2 linked regions of the Rattus norvegicus genome follow. The protein of the gene in region 1 interacts with the protein of each later gene in a pairwise test. Links are inferred from orthologs where the notes say so. Each region holds a gene or a part of one and is shown in the gene's direction. Other genes may lie near its edges.

Evidence for each region. The genes of interacting proteins can lie anywhere in the genome.
Region 2: the proteins of Morn3 (region 1) and Rsph1 interact in binary tests that used the Homo sapiens proteins (3 or more experiments, as listed by UniProt). The two-hybrid records come from large-scale screens. The link is inferred for Rattus norvegicus from reciprocal best matches to the Homo sapiens genes MORN3 and RSPH1.

The regions. Positions count from the first base shown.
Region 1 is NC_086030.1:39,186,836-39,190,502, forward strand, and holds part of Morn3 (MORN repeat-containing protein 3), read left to right. Parts: intron 1-1,244; coding exon 1,245-1,429; intron 1,430-1,721; coding exon 1,722-1,799; 3' UTR 1,800-1,805; exon of another isoform or gene 1,806-2,000; intron 2,001-2,226; exon of another isoform or gene 2,227-2,534; intron 2,535-2,635; exon of another isoform or gene 2,636-3,667. UniProt on the Homo sapiens protein: Assembles a suppression complex (suppresome) by tethering SIRT1 and MDM2 to regulate composite modifications of p53/TP53.
Region 2 is NC_086038.1:9,359,138-9,363,523, reverse strand, and holds the start of Rsph1 (radial spoke head 1 homolog), read left to right. Parts: upstream 1-1,535; 5' UTR 1,536-1,589; coding exon 1,590-1,643; exon of another isoform or gene 1,644-1,791; intron 1,792-4,386.

The DNA.
Region 1 (3,667 bases):
TTTTCAATGAGGTCCAACTGAGCTGAGGTCATGGATCAGCTGGGAGGGCAGAGGCGGTCAAGTCTGTATGTCTGTCTTGAAGTCCCTATCCTCTGCAAGGAGCCTGCCTTCAGTGAGCCTCCACTGAGCATAAACTGGATTTAGAGAGCTCTTGCTAAGCAGAGCAAATGTTCCAGGAGCTTCTCATGGTCTGGACTTTGGGCGAGCCTGCAGGAATTCAGATCCTGGTGGGAGCTGGGGCTAGCTCTGGGACGCCGGGCAAATGTCTAGTTTAGTTTAGTAGTTTTTAGTGTGAGGGCCTTTGAGTCGGTTCGGCGGGTAACTCACTCAATGGTGAGTTGGGCTTCCAAACAGATCTGACCACTTGAGTTTGATCCTGGGTCCCACAAGGTAGGAGGAGAGAACCGATTCTCCCAGACTTGTCCTCTTACCCCTACATGTGTGTTACACATGCACCTTGGCATGCAAGTACTGGCATTTAACACAACCACACTAAAAAAAAATAAATAAATAAATGTGGGAGGTGATCAAGGTCCCTAACACTCGGTATCAGCGACAACATTGCTTCCACTTAGAGACCAGCTAGGGGGTGAAATGCTGTGGGGGGGTGGGGGGGAACCAAACCAAACCATCCAAACAAACAAACTTTACATGGCTTTAATCTCAGTACTTGGGAAGCAGAGGGAGGTGGAGCTCTGAATTCTTGATTTACATAGGGAATTTCAGGCCAAGGCCTGGGGGTGTGGAGCAGTTGCCTAGCAGGCTCAAAGTTTCTTGCGCTGCGGAGCAAAACAAAAGTAACAAAGTAACAAAACAACAACAAAAAAACAAAAAACAAAACAAAAACAAAAACAAAAAAACCCTCCCTACAGCTAGTGTTGCAGCTCAGAGGCAGAAGTGCCGAGAGCCAAGTTCTGTCTCCAACATCAAAAAATCAAATCTCTCTCACCCCCCGCCCCCTCCCCCTCTCCCTGGTTTTCCTCCGTGTAGCCCTGGAACTCTCTTGGTAGACAAGGATGGACTAGAACTCAGAGATCCACTTACCTCTGCCTTCTGATTGCTGGGATCAAAGGCCTGGGCCACCATGACTGGCAGAATAAAATCTCTGGAATTGGTTGAAGCGATGTTTTAAGGACACTGCACCTCCTCTCAGAGAGCTCACTGGTCAGCAGCTAGGACCAGTGAGGTCCAGCCCGATGTCCCAGCTGCTTCCCTGTGCCTAGCACCCATGCTTTCCTGTCTAGAGAACGGGAACCGGTATGAAGGCAGCTGGGAGAGAGGCATGAAGAACGGGCACGGGCGTTTCTTTCACCTGGACCACGGCCAGCTGTTTGAAGGCTTCTGGGTGGACAACGTGGCCAAGTGTGGCACCATGATCGACTTTGGCCGGGATGAGGCCCCAGAACCCACCCAGTTCCCCATTCCTAAGGTGGGTAGTCCTCCTGGAGTCCTGAAACCAGAGAGACAGAAACCAGCCTCCTGGCTCCACATGTCAAGGAGCTGGAGGTGAGGTTCTGTTTTCTTTTTTCTTTTTTTTTTTTTTTTTTTCCGGAGCTGGGGACCGAACCCAGGGCCTTGAGCTTCCTAGGCAAGCGCTCTACCGCTGAGTTAAATCCCCAACCCCGAGGTTCTGTTTTCAAGCATCTCTAGCAAGGCAGCTTGGGGGCTTCCCATGCTCCTTACCCCAACCAAAGGGTCCCCTCGCCCCTGCTTCCCCCCAGGTGGAGATTCTAGACCCAGACGGTGTGCTGAAGGAAGCATTAGATAAACTGAAGAAGCCTGAGGAAGAAGAGGACTGATGTCAGGTGAGAAGACGCGGCTGTCTGTCACCTCTGAGAAAGCTGAGACCTCTCTGAACAAACAGTGCCGATCATCTGGTACCACTAATGGGCGCAGAGCAAGATCAAAGAGGGCAAGTTTCTTGCCTCCCCGAATCCAGCTTTTCCTTCTTGGTTACTCCTCTTTGAAATACGTGTGCCTAGATAACCCAGTGCATTCCAGCCCTGCCTAGTTTGCCTCCATTTTGTTCTTAGCCTCCCGGGGCGAGCTGCAGTCAGGTGATTGGTTAGTCCCTTCTAAAGGATGTTGAAGGAGGCTGTGGTCCCTTGGCCTGTCTTGATAGTTGTTTGTGGGACCTTGTCCTTGAGGGTGGCTGTGAGGCTTTATGGCGAGGGTGTTGGTGGTTGTTTCTAATCCTTAACTCCGACATCATCCCCACCTGTGCAGAGATCGAACAGAGACTCAGGAGAAACTCTAGCCCTTGTCACCAAACTGCTCAGACCGGTGCACCTCCTGCAGAAGGAGCACACAGTGACTCTGGGCACGCCCTTGGCTCCCTCAGAGGGCACCCACTCCTCCAGACGCTAGGTTATTCTTGGCCACTGGAGGTGGGGTCTTTACACTAGCTTATTCTTGGCCAGTGGAGGTAAGGTATTGCTTCTCCCTGGCTGGTCTTGGGGACCCACTTGCTCAAAGCCTTTGCCCCTGTGGCTTTATATCAGTGTGCATGAAAATAAAGAAGGTGGTGGCCTTAATCCAAGGGACTATAGCTTGAGCAGGGGTGGGCAGGGTCTGAGGGATGGGAAAGACAGCCTCACCAACTGTGTAGATTTTTTTCCCCTTGTGTCTGTGACAGGGGGACTTGAGGGTGCAAGGCAGAGGAGCAAGGAAGTGGTTTCAGTTCTACTGCCCGAGCTAACCCAGAGAGGAGAGTGAGCCTGCACTCTGCCATCAAGCCCACCGAGACTTGAGATTTAAACATGTCCTCACCTCCTTAGCCTAACCCAAGAATCCCCAGAGAGCTTTAAAAACTATGAGCACCCAGGGCCATCATGGTGGCCTGTGCCTTAAATACAGGTACTTGGGAAGCAGAGGTAGGTGGTAGATCTCTGAGTTTGAGGCCAGCCTGGTCTATACAATGAGTGTGTGTGTGTGTGTGTGTGTATACACATATATATATATTTTAAGAATTTTTTATTTATTTCATGTATATAAGTACATTGTAGCTGTCTTCAGACACACTAGAAGAGGGTCTTGGATCCCATTACAGATGGTTGTGAGCCACCATGTGGTTGCTGGGAATTGAACTCAGGACCTCTGGAAGAGCAGAGCAGTCAGTGCTCATAACCGCTGAGCCATCTCTCCAGCCCCCCAGATCTATATATTCTCTTAAATTATTTTTGTGTGTTTGGATGTTTTGTCTGCACATATGTCCATGTACTAGGTACATGTCTGGTGCCCAAGAAGGTGTTATAGATACTTGTGAGCTGCCACTTGGGTGCAGGGAATCAAAACAGGGTCCTCTGGCACACCAGCAAATGCTTTTTTTTTTTTTTTTTTTTTTCCAGAGCTGGGGACCGAACCCAGGGCCTTGCGCTTCCTAGGCAAGCGCTCTACCACTGAGCTAAATCCCCAACCCCCAGCAAATGCTCTTAACTGCTGAGCCATGTATCCAGCCCAGAGCTCTATACTCTTAGGGAGTGGAGGTGTATGTATGGACTGTTACTTGGCATGGTGGTGTCTCTCATCCTAGCACTTGGGAGGCAAAGGCGGGCAATCTCTTCAGCCTGGTCTATGTGGATACCGTGCTTCACAAAGGGATGGGGGAACGAGGATACTCTTGTCTATTTATTTATTTATTTATTTATTTATTTATTTATTTATTTAT
Region 2 (4,386 bases), on another chromosome or scaffold:
AGAAAACCACACCCACAGACATCCTCACAGACCAGGATACAATTCCTCAATTGAGATCCCTTCTTCCCGAGTGTGTCGGGTTGACAACCAAAATTAACTGTCACAGTGGCATGGACAGTTCCCTAGGAGTGTGAACAGCAGATTCTAAAGGTAGCACCTGGGGTGGTGGTGGTGGTAGTGGTGGTGGTGGTGGTGGTGGTGGTGGTGGTGGTGGTGGTGGTGATTACAGTGGCTGTGTTGCTGTGTCTGTGGAAATCGGCCCTGTGTGTGTGTGGTGTGTGTGTGTGTGTGTGTGTGTGTGTGTGTGTGTGTGTTAATCAGAATACTGCATGCACATCACGGCACATTAGCATTTTTTTTTCCGGAGCTGGGGACCGAACCCAGGACCTTGCGCTTCCTAGGCAAGCGCTCTACCACTGAGCTAAATCCCCAACCCCTCACATTAGCATTTTTAATTGTCCCAAGTTATGTTTTACATTTTATCACGTGGGGAGGCAGCTTTTTAGCCAATCTTTGGGGGAAAAAACCAACCAAACAAAGATGTCTTGGTGTGCTTTCAAGTGTGGGGAAGCAGGTATTCCAGGGAGCTGGCTGGGCTGGACCAGGCAGAAGCCAGAAGTAGGGACTGGAGGTTTGGGTGGTTTGGTTTGTTTGCAATGTAGCTAGTGCAGGGAGGGGGAGCTTGGGGACATAGAGAGAGGCTGTGTGTGTTTGGGTTTCTGTACAGAGAAAACTGTGAGACTGTTAGGAGGCCAGGTACTGGGACAGAAAGACTGGCTCAGTGGGGGAGCAGGAAGGTCTGAGCTTGGAATGACAGTATAGGGGTTGAAGGGGACCCAGAGGGTCCTTGCAGGGTGGAATGTGGCACTGGAGGGACCCCAAGAGGAGATCTATCTGTAAGAGACAGTCAGTGAATGAGCAGGCTGGACCTTTGAGAGGAAGTCTGCAGGCACCAGAGGACAGAGTAGAACGAATATAGCTCTCCTGCAAGTGAAGGCCCAGAGGTAACCTGAGTTAGTTGAGATGCTAAACCCTGACCCGGGGCAGTGTGTGCGAGCATCTGCTTAAGTGGTCAGAGTTCATCGTCCAGTGTATACGTGTTGACAGGAAACAGAAAAGACTTGAGTTCCTGTCATCTAGAGACCACGAACACCTCAAGACCTGGGAGGGTCCTTGCAGCATCCACGGAGGACCCAAGGGACTGAAAGGCAAGGCCCAGAGTTGAGATGCACCTCTCGTCCCAATGGGGGTCCGCTTTTTAGGTGATTCCTTGTAGAGCCCACAAACCAGATCAGTAAGGACATTCCAGAGGCCGGTGACACAGCTCAGGTTAGACGGTCAGATCTGCCAAGGCCCCGCCCCCCCTCGTCCCGGGCGGCGATTGGCAGAGATACCCTTCCAGTTGCTAGGACACTATTCCAGCCCTTGGCTCCTCCCACGCTTCTCTTGCGGCCCTTTCCCGCCACCCTTCCAGGCAGAGAGCCAAGTGGGGCGGGCAGCGTCTCCATGACGACGCGGGACGCGGGTGGGGGTGGCTGGTACCTGCTTGATAGAGACGCTGCTCCGGAGATCCTGTCTGAGACCAGATCATGTCGGACCTGGGCTCTGAGGAGTTAGAGGAGGAGGGAGAGAACGATCTTGGGGTGAGAGCTCCTGACCAGGGAGGGACTCCTGGGGTGCGCCGCAGCTCCGGAGCGGGAGGCGTGGGGATCAGAGGGCCGAGAGGCCGGGGACAGGACCACGCTGGCCACAGTGGCGGCGCTGCGTCCAGGAAGTCGCTCTGAAAGGTGAAACGCCGTGACGTCTTGTTTCCACCCCCCCTTCCCCGCTCCCATCCCGCCTCCCATTAAAGGCGAAGATTTCTAAGCAGAGGGCGTGAGTAAAGGTTGCTTCCTGACAACTCCCGCACGGGCTGAGGTGCCCCGGGCTCTCAAGATCTCACCACGTGGGTTTGGAATCAGTTTCTCTGAACCATCCCAAGCCATTGGAATCACTTCTCTTGTGTAGACAGCAGAGGGGAGGCAAAGGACCCACAGCCAGTGTTGTGCTCCTACGTGAGTGCATTGTGGGCCGGCTGTTTATCCTTAAACCAGAGGATGACCACGCCCTGGCTGACAGAGTGGGGGATAGGCCCGCTGTGTGTGAGCAAAGCGCTTTGAGCATCAACTGAAGAACCCAGTCCCTGCTCTGTACTGTTGGTACCCGCTCAGATCTCTTTGCAGGCCCTGGGCATCCTGTCTTAGCTTCTTCATCTATGTGCTGGAACAGCCTGGTCAGTGTGAAGGTGCCACAATGCCTGGGAGTCCTGTGCTCCCAGGAGCCAGTGCAAAGAAGGACATTCTCAAGTGCGACATCTAGACCTCAAGGTCTCCATGCCATTAGCTGGAGGCTGGTATTGCATCTGAGATTGCAACATGCATCCTGGCTTAGCTGCCTCCTTTCCAATCTGGCAGATCTCCTCACTGGTTTCTTCGGGTTCTACTTGTAAAAGTTCCCCCAGGGAAGATGGCTCAGTCAGTAAAGTGCTTGCTGAACAGCACGAGGGCCTGAGTTCAGGTACCACTGTGTAAAAAGCCGGGCACAGGAGGATCCCTGGCGCTTGCCGGCTGGCCAGCCTAGCTCCAACTTCAGTGAGACAGTTTCAAAGAATAAGGTGGAGAGACTTGAAGAAGACATTACATGTCAATCTCTGGCCCCTATAGATGAGCATGAACATTCACATGAGCAAACACCCACATGGACATATCCACCTTACTGAATGAACACACGCACGCACACGCACGCACACGCACACACACACACATCACACACACCACATACACCACACACACACTACACACCACACACACATCACACACACCACATACACCACACACACACTACACACCACACACACATCACACACACCACATACACCACACACACACTACACACCACACACACATCACACACACCACATACACCACACACACACTGCACACACCACATATACTACACACTACACACATCACACACCACACAGACCACACAAACTACATACCACACACACATCACACACACTACACACCACACATACTACACATACCACACACACCACACCACACCATACACACCACACACACATCACACTACACACCACACACAAACACCACACACACTACACACCACACATACTATACACCACACACACTACACACTACACACACACCCCACCTACCACACCACACACACTACACACATTACACATTACACACCACACACACATCACACACACCACATACACCACACACACACTACACACCACATATACTACACACTACACACATCACACACACCACACAGACCACACAAACTACATACCACACACACTACACACCACACACACTACACACCACATACTACACACACACTTACCATACATACTACACACCACACACCACACATACTACACATGCCACACACACACCATACACACTACACACCACATACACTACACACAACACACCACATAATACACACACACATACACACACAGATGGAGGTCACTAATTTACAGTCTGTTTCTGCAGATATTCAATTCACACAGTCCGGTCATCAGGGTTTCCGGTTTGTTCCCTGCCGGCTCCTACTGACCTGTAACGTGTCTAAGCTTATAGTTATGGCATCAAACCACCTTTAGGTCAACTTAAAGAATTTCTCTGTTGGTCATCCAGACAGCTCAGTCCGTGTTGGGCATACTGGGAGGTCCCTGAGATGAGTACAGGGGTCCACTTCTGTGACTCAGTGTTGGCCATAGCGGGAGACCTCCAGGATGGGCGCAGGGACTCTGTACGGTGTGGGTTTAGTAACTTTTCTGTTACTGTGACCAGGCACCATGGCTCGTGGAAGGAAGAGTTTATTTGGACTTACGGTTCCAGGGGGGTAGGAGTCTGTCATAGTGAGGAGGCAGGCAAAGGGGCAGACATGGCGGCAGGAACAGGAAGTTGAGGGCTGACATCTTCAGATGCAAGCAGAGAGCACAGACAGGAAGTGGTGTGAGACTACAAACACTCAAAAGTCCGTCCCTAGTGATGTACCTTCCTCCAGCAAGCCTCTACCTCCCAAAGGTTCCGTAGTCTCCCCACACAGTACCACAAAGCAGGGAATCGGTGTGTAGATATATGAGCTTATAAGGGACAACTGAAATGTAATAATATGTCATGTCATTGTGTATGTTGAAAGTTTGCAGCAAGATGTTATAAGCTAGCCATGCTGCATCATTACTGAATGCTCCGGCCATTTTAGTATATGTTATATGCACTACATCCATGTGTGTGAGTCAGAGAACATTCATCTTGAAAAGTATAGGGGGAAGGGGTGGGGAGAAGTGCAAGCTTGTATTACTTT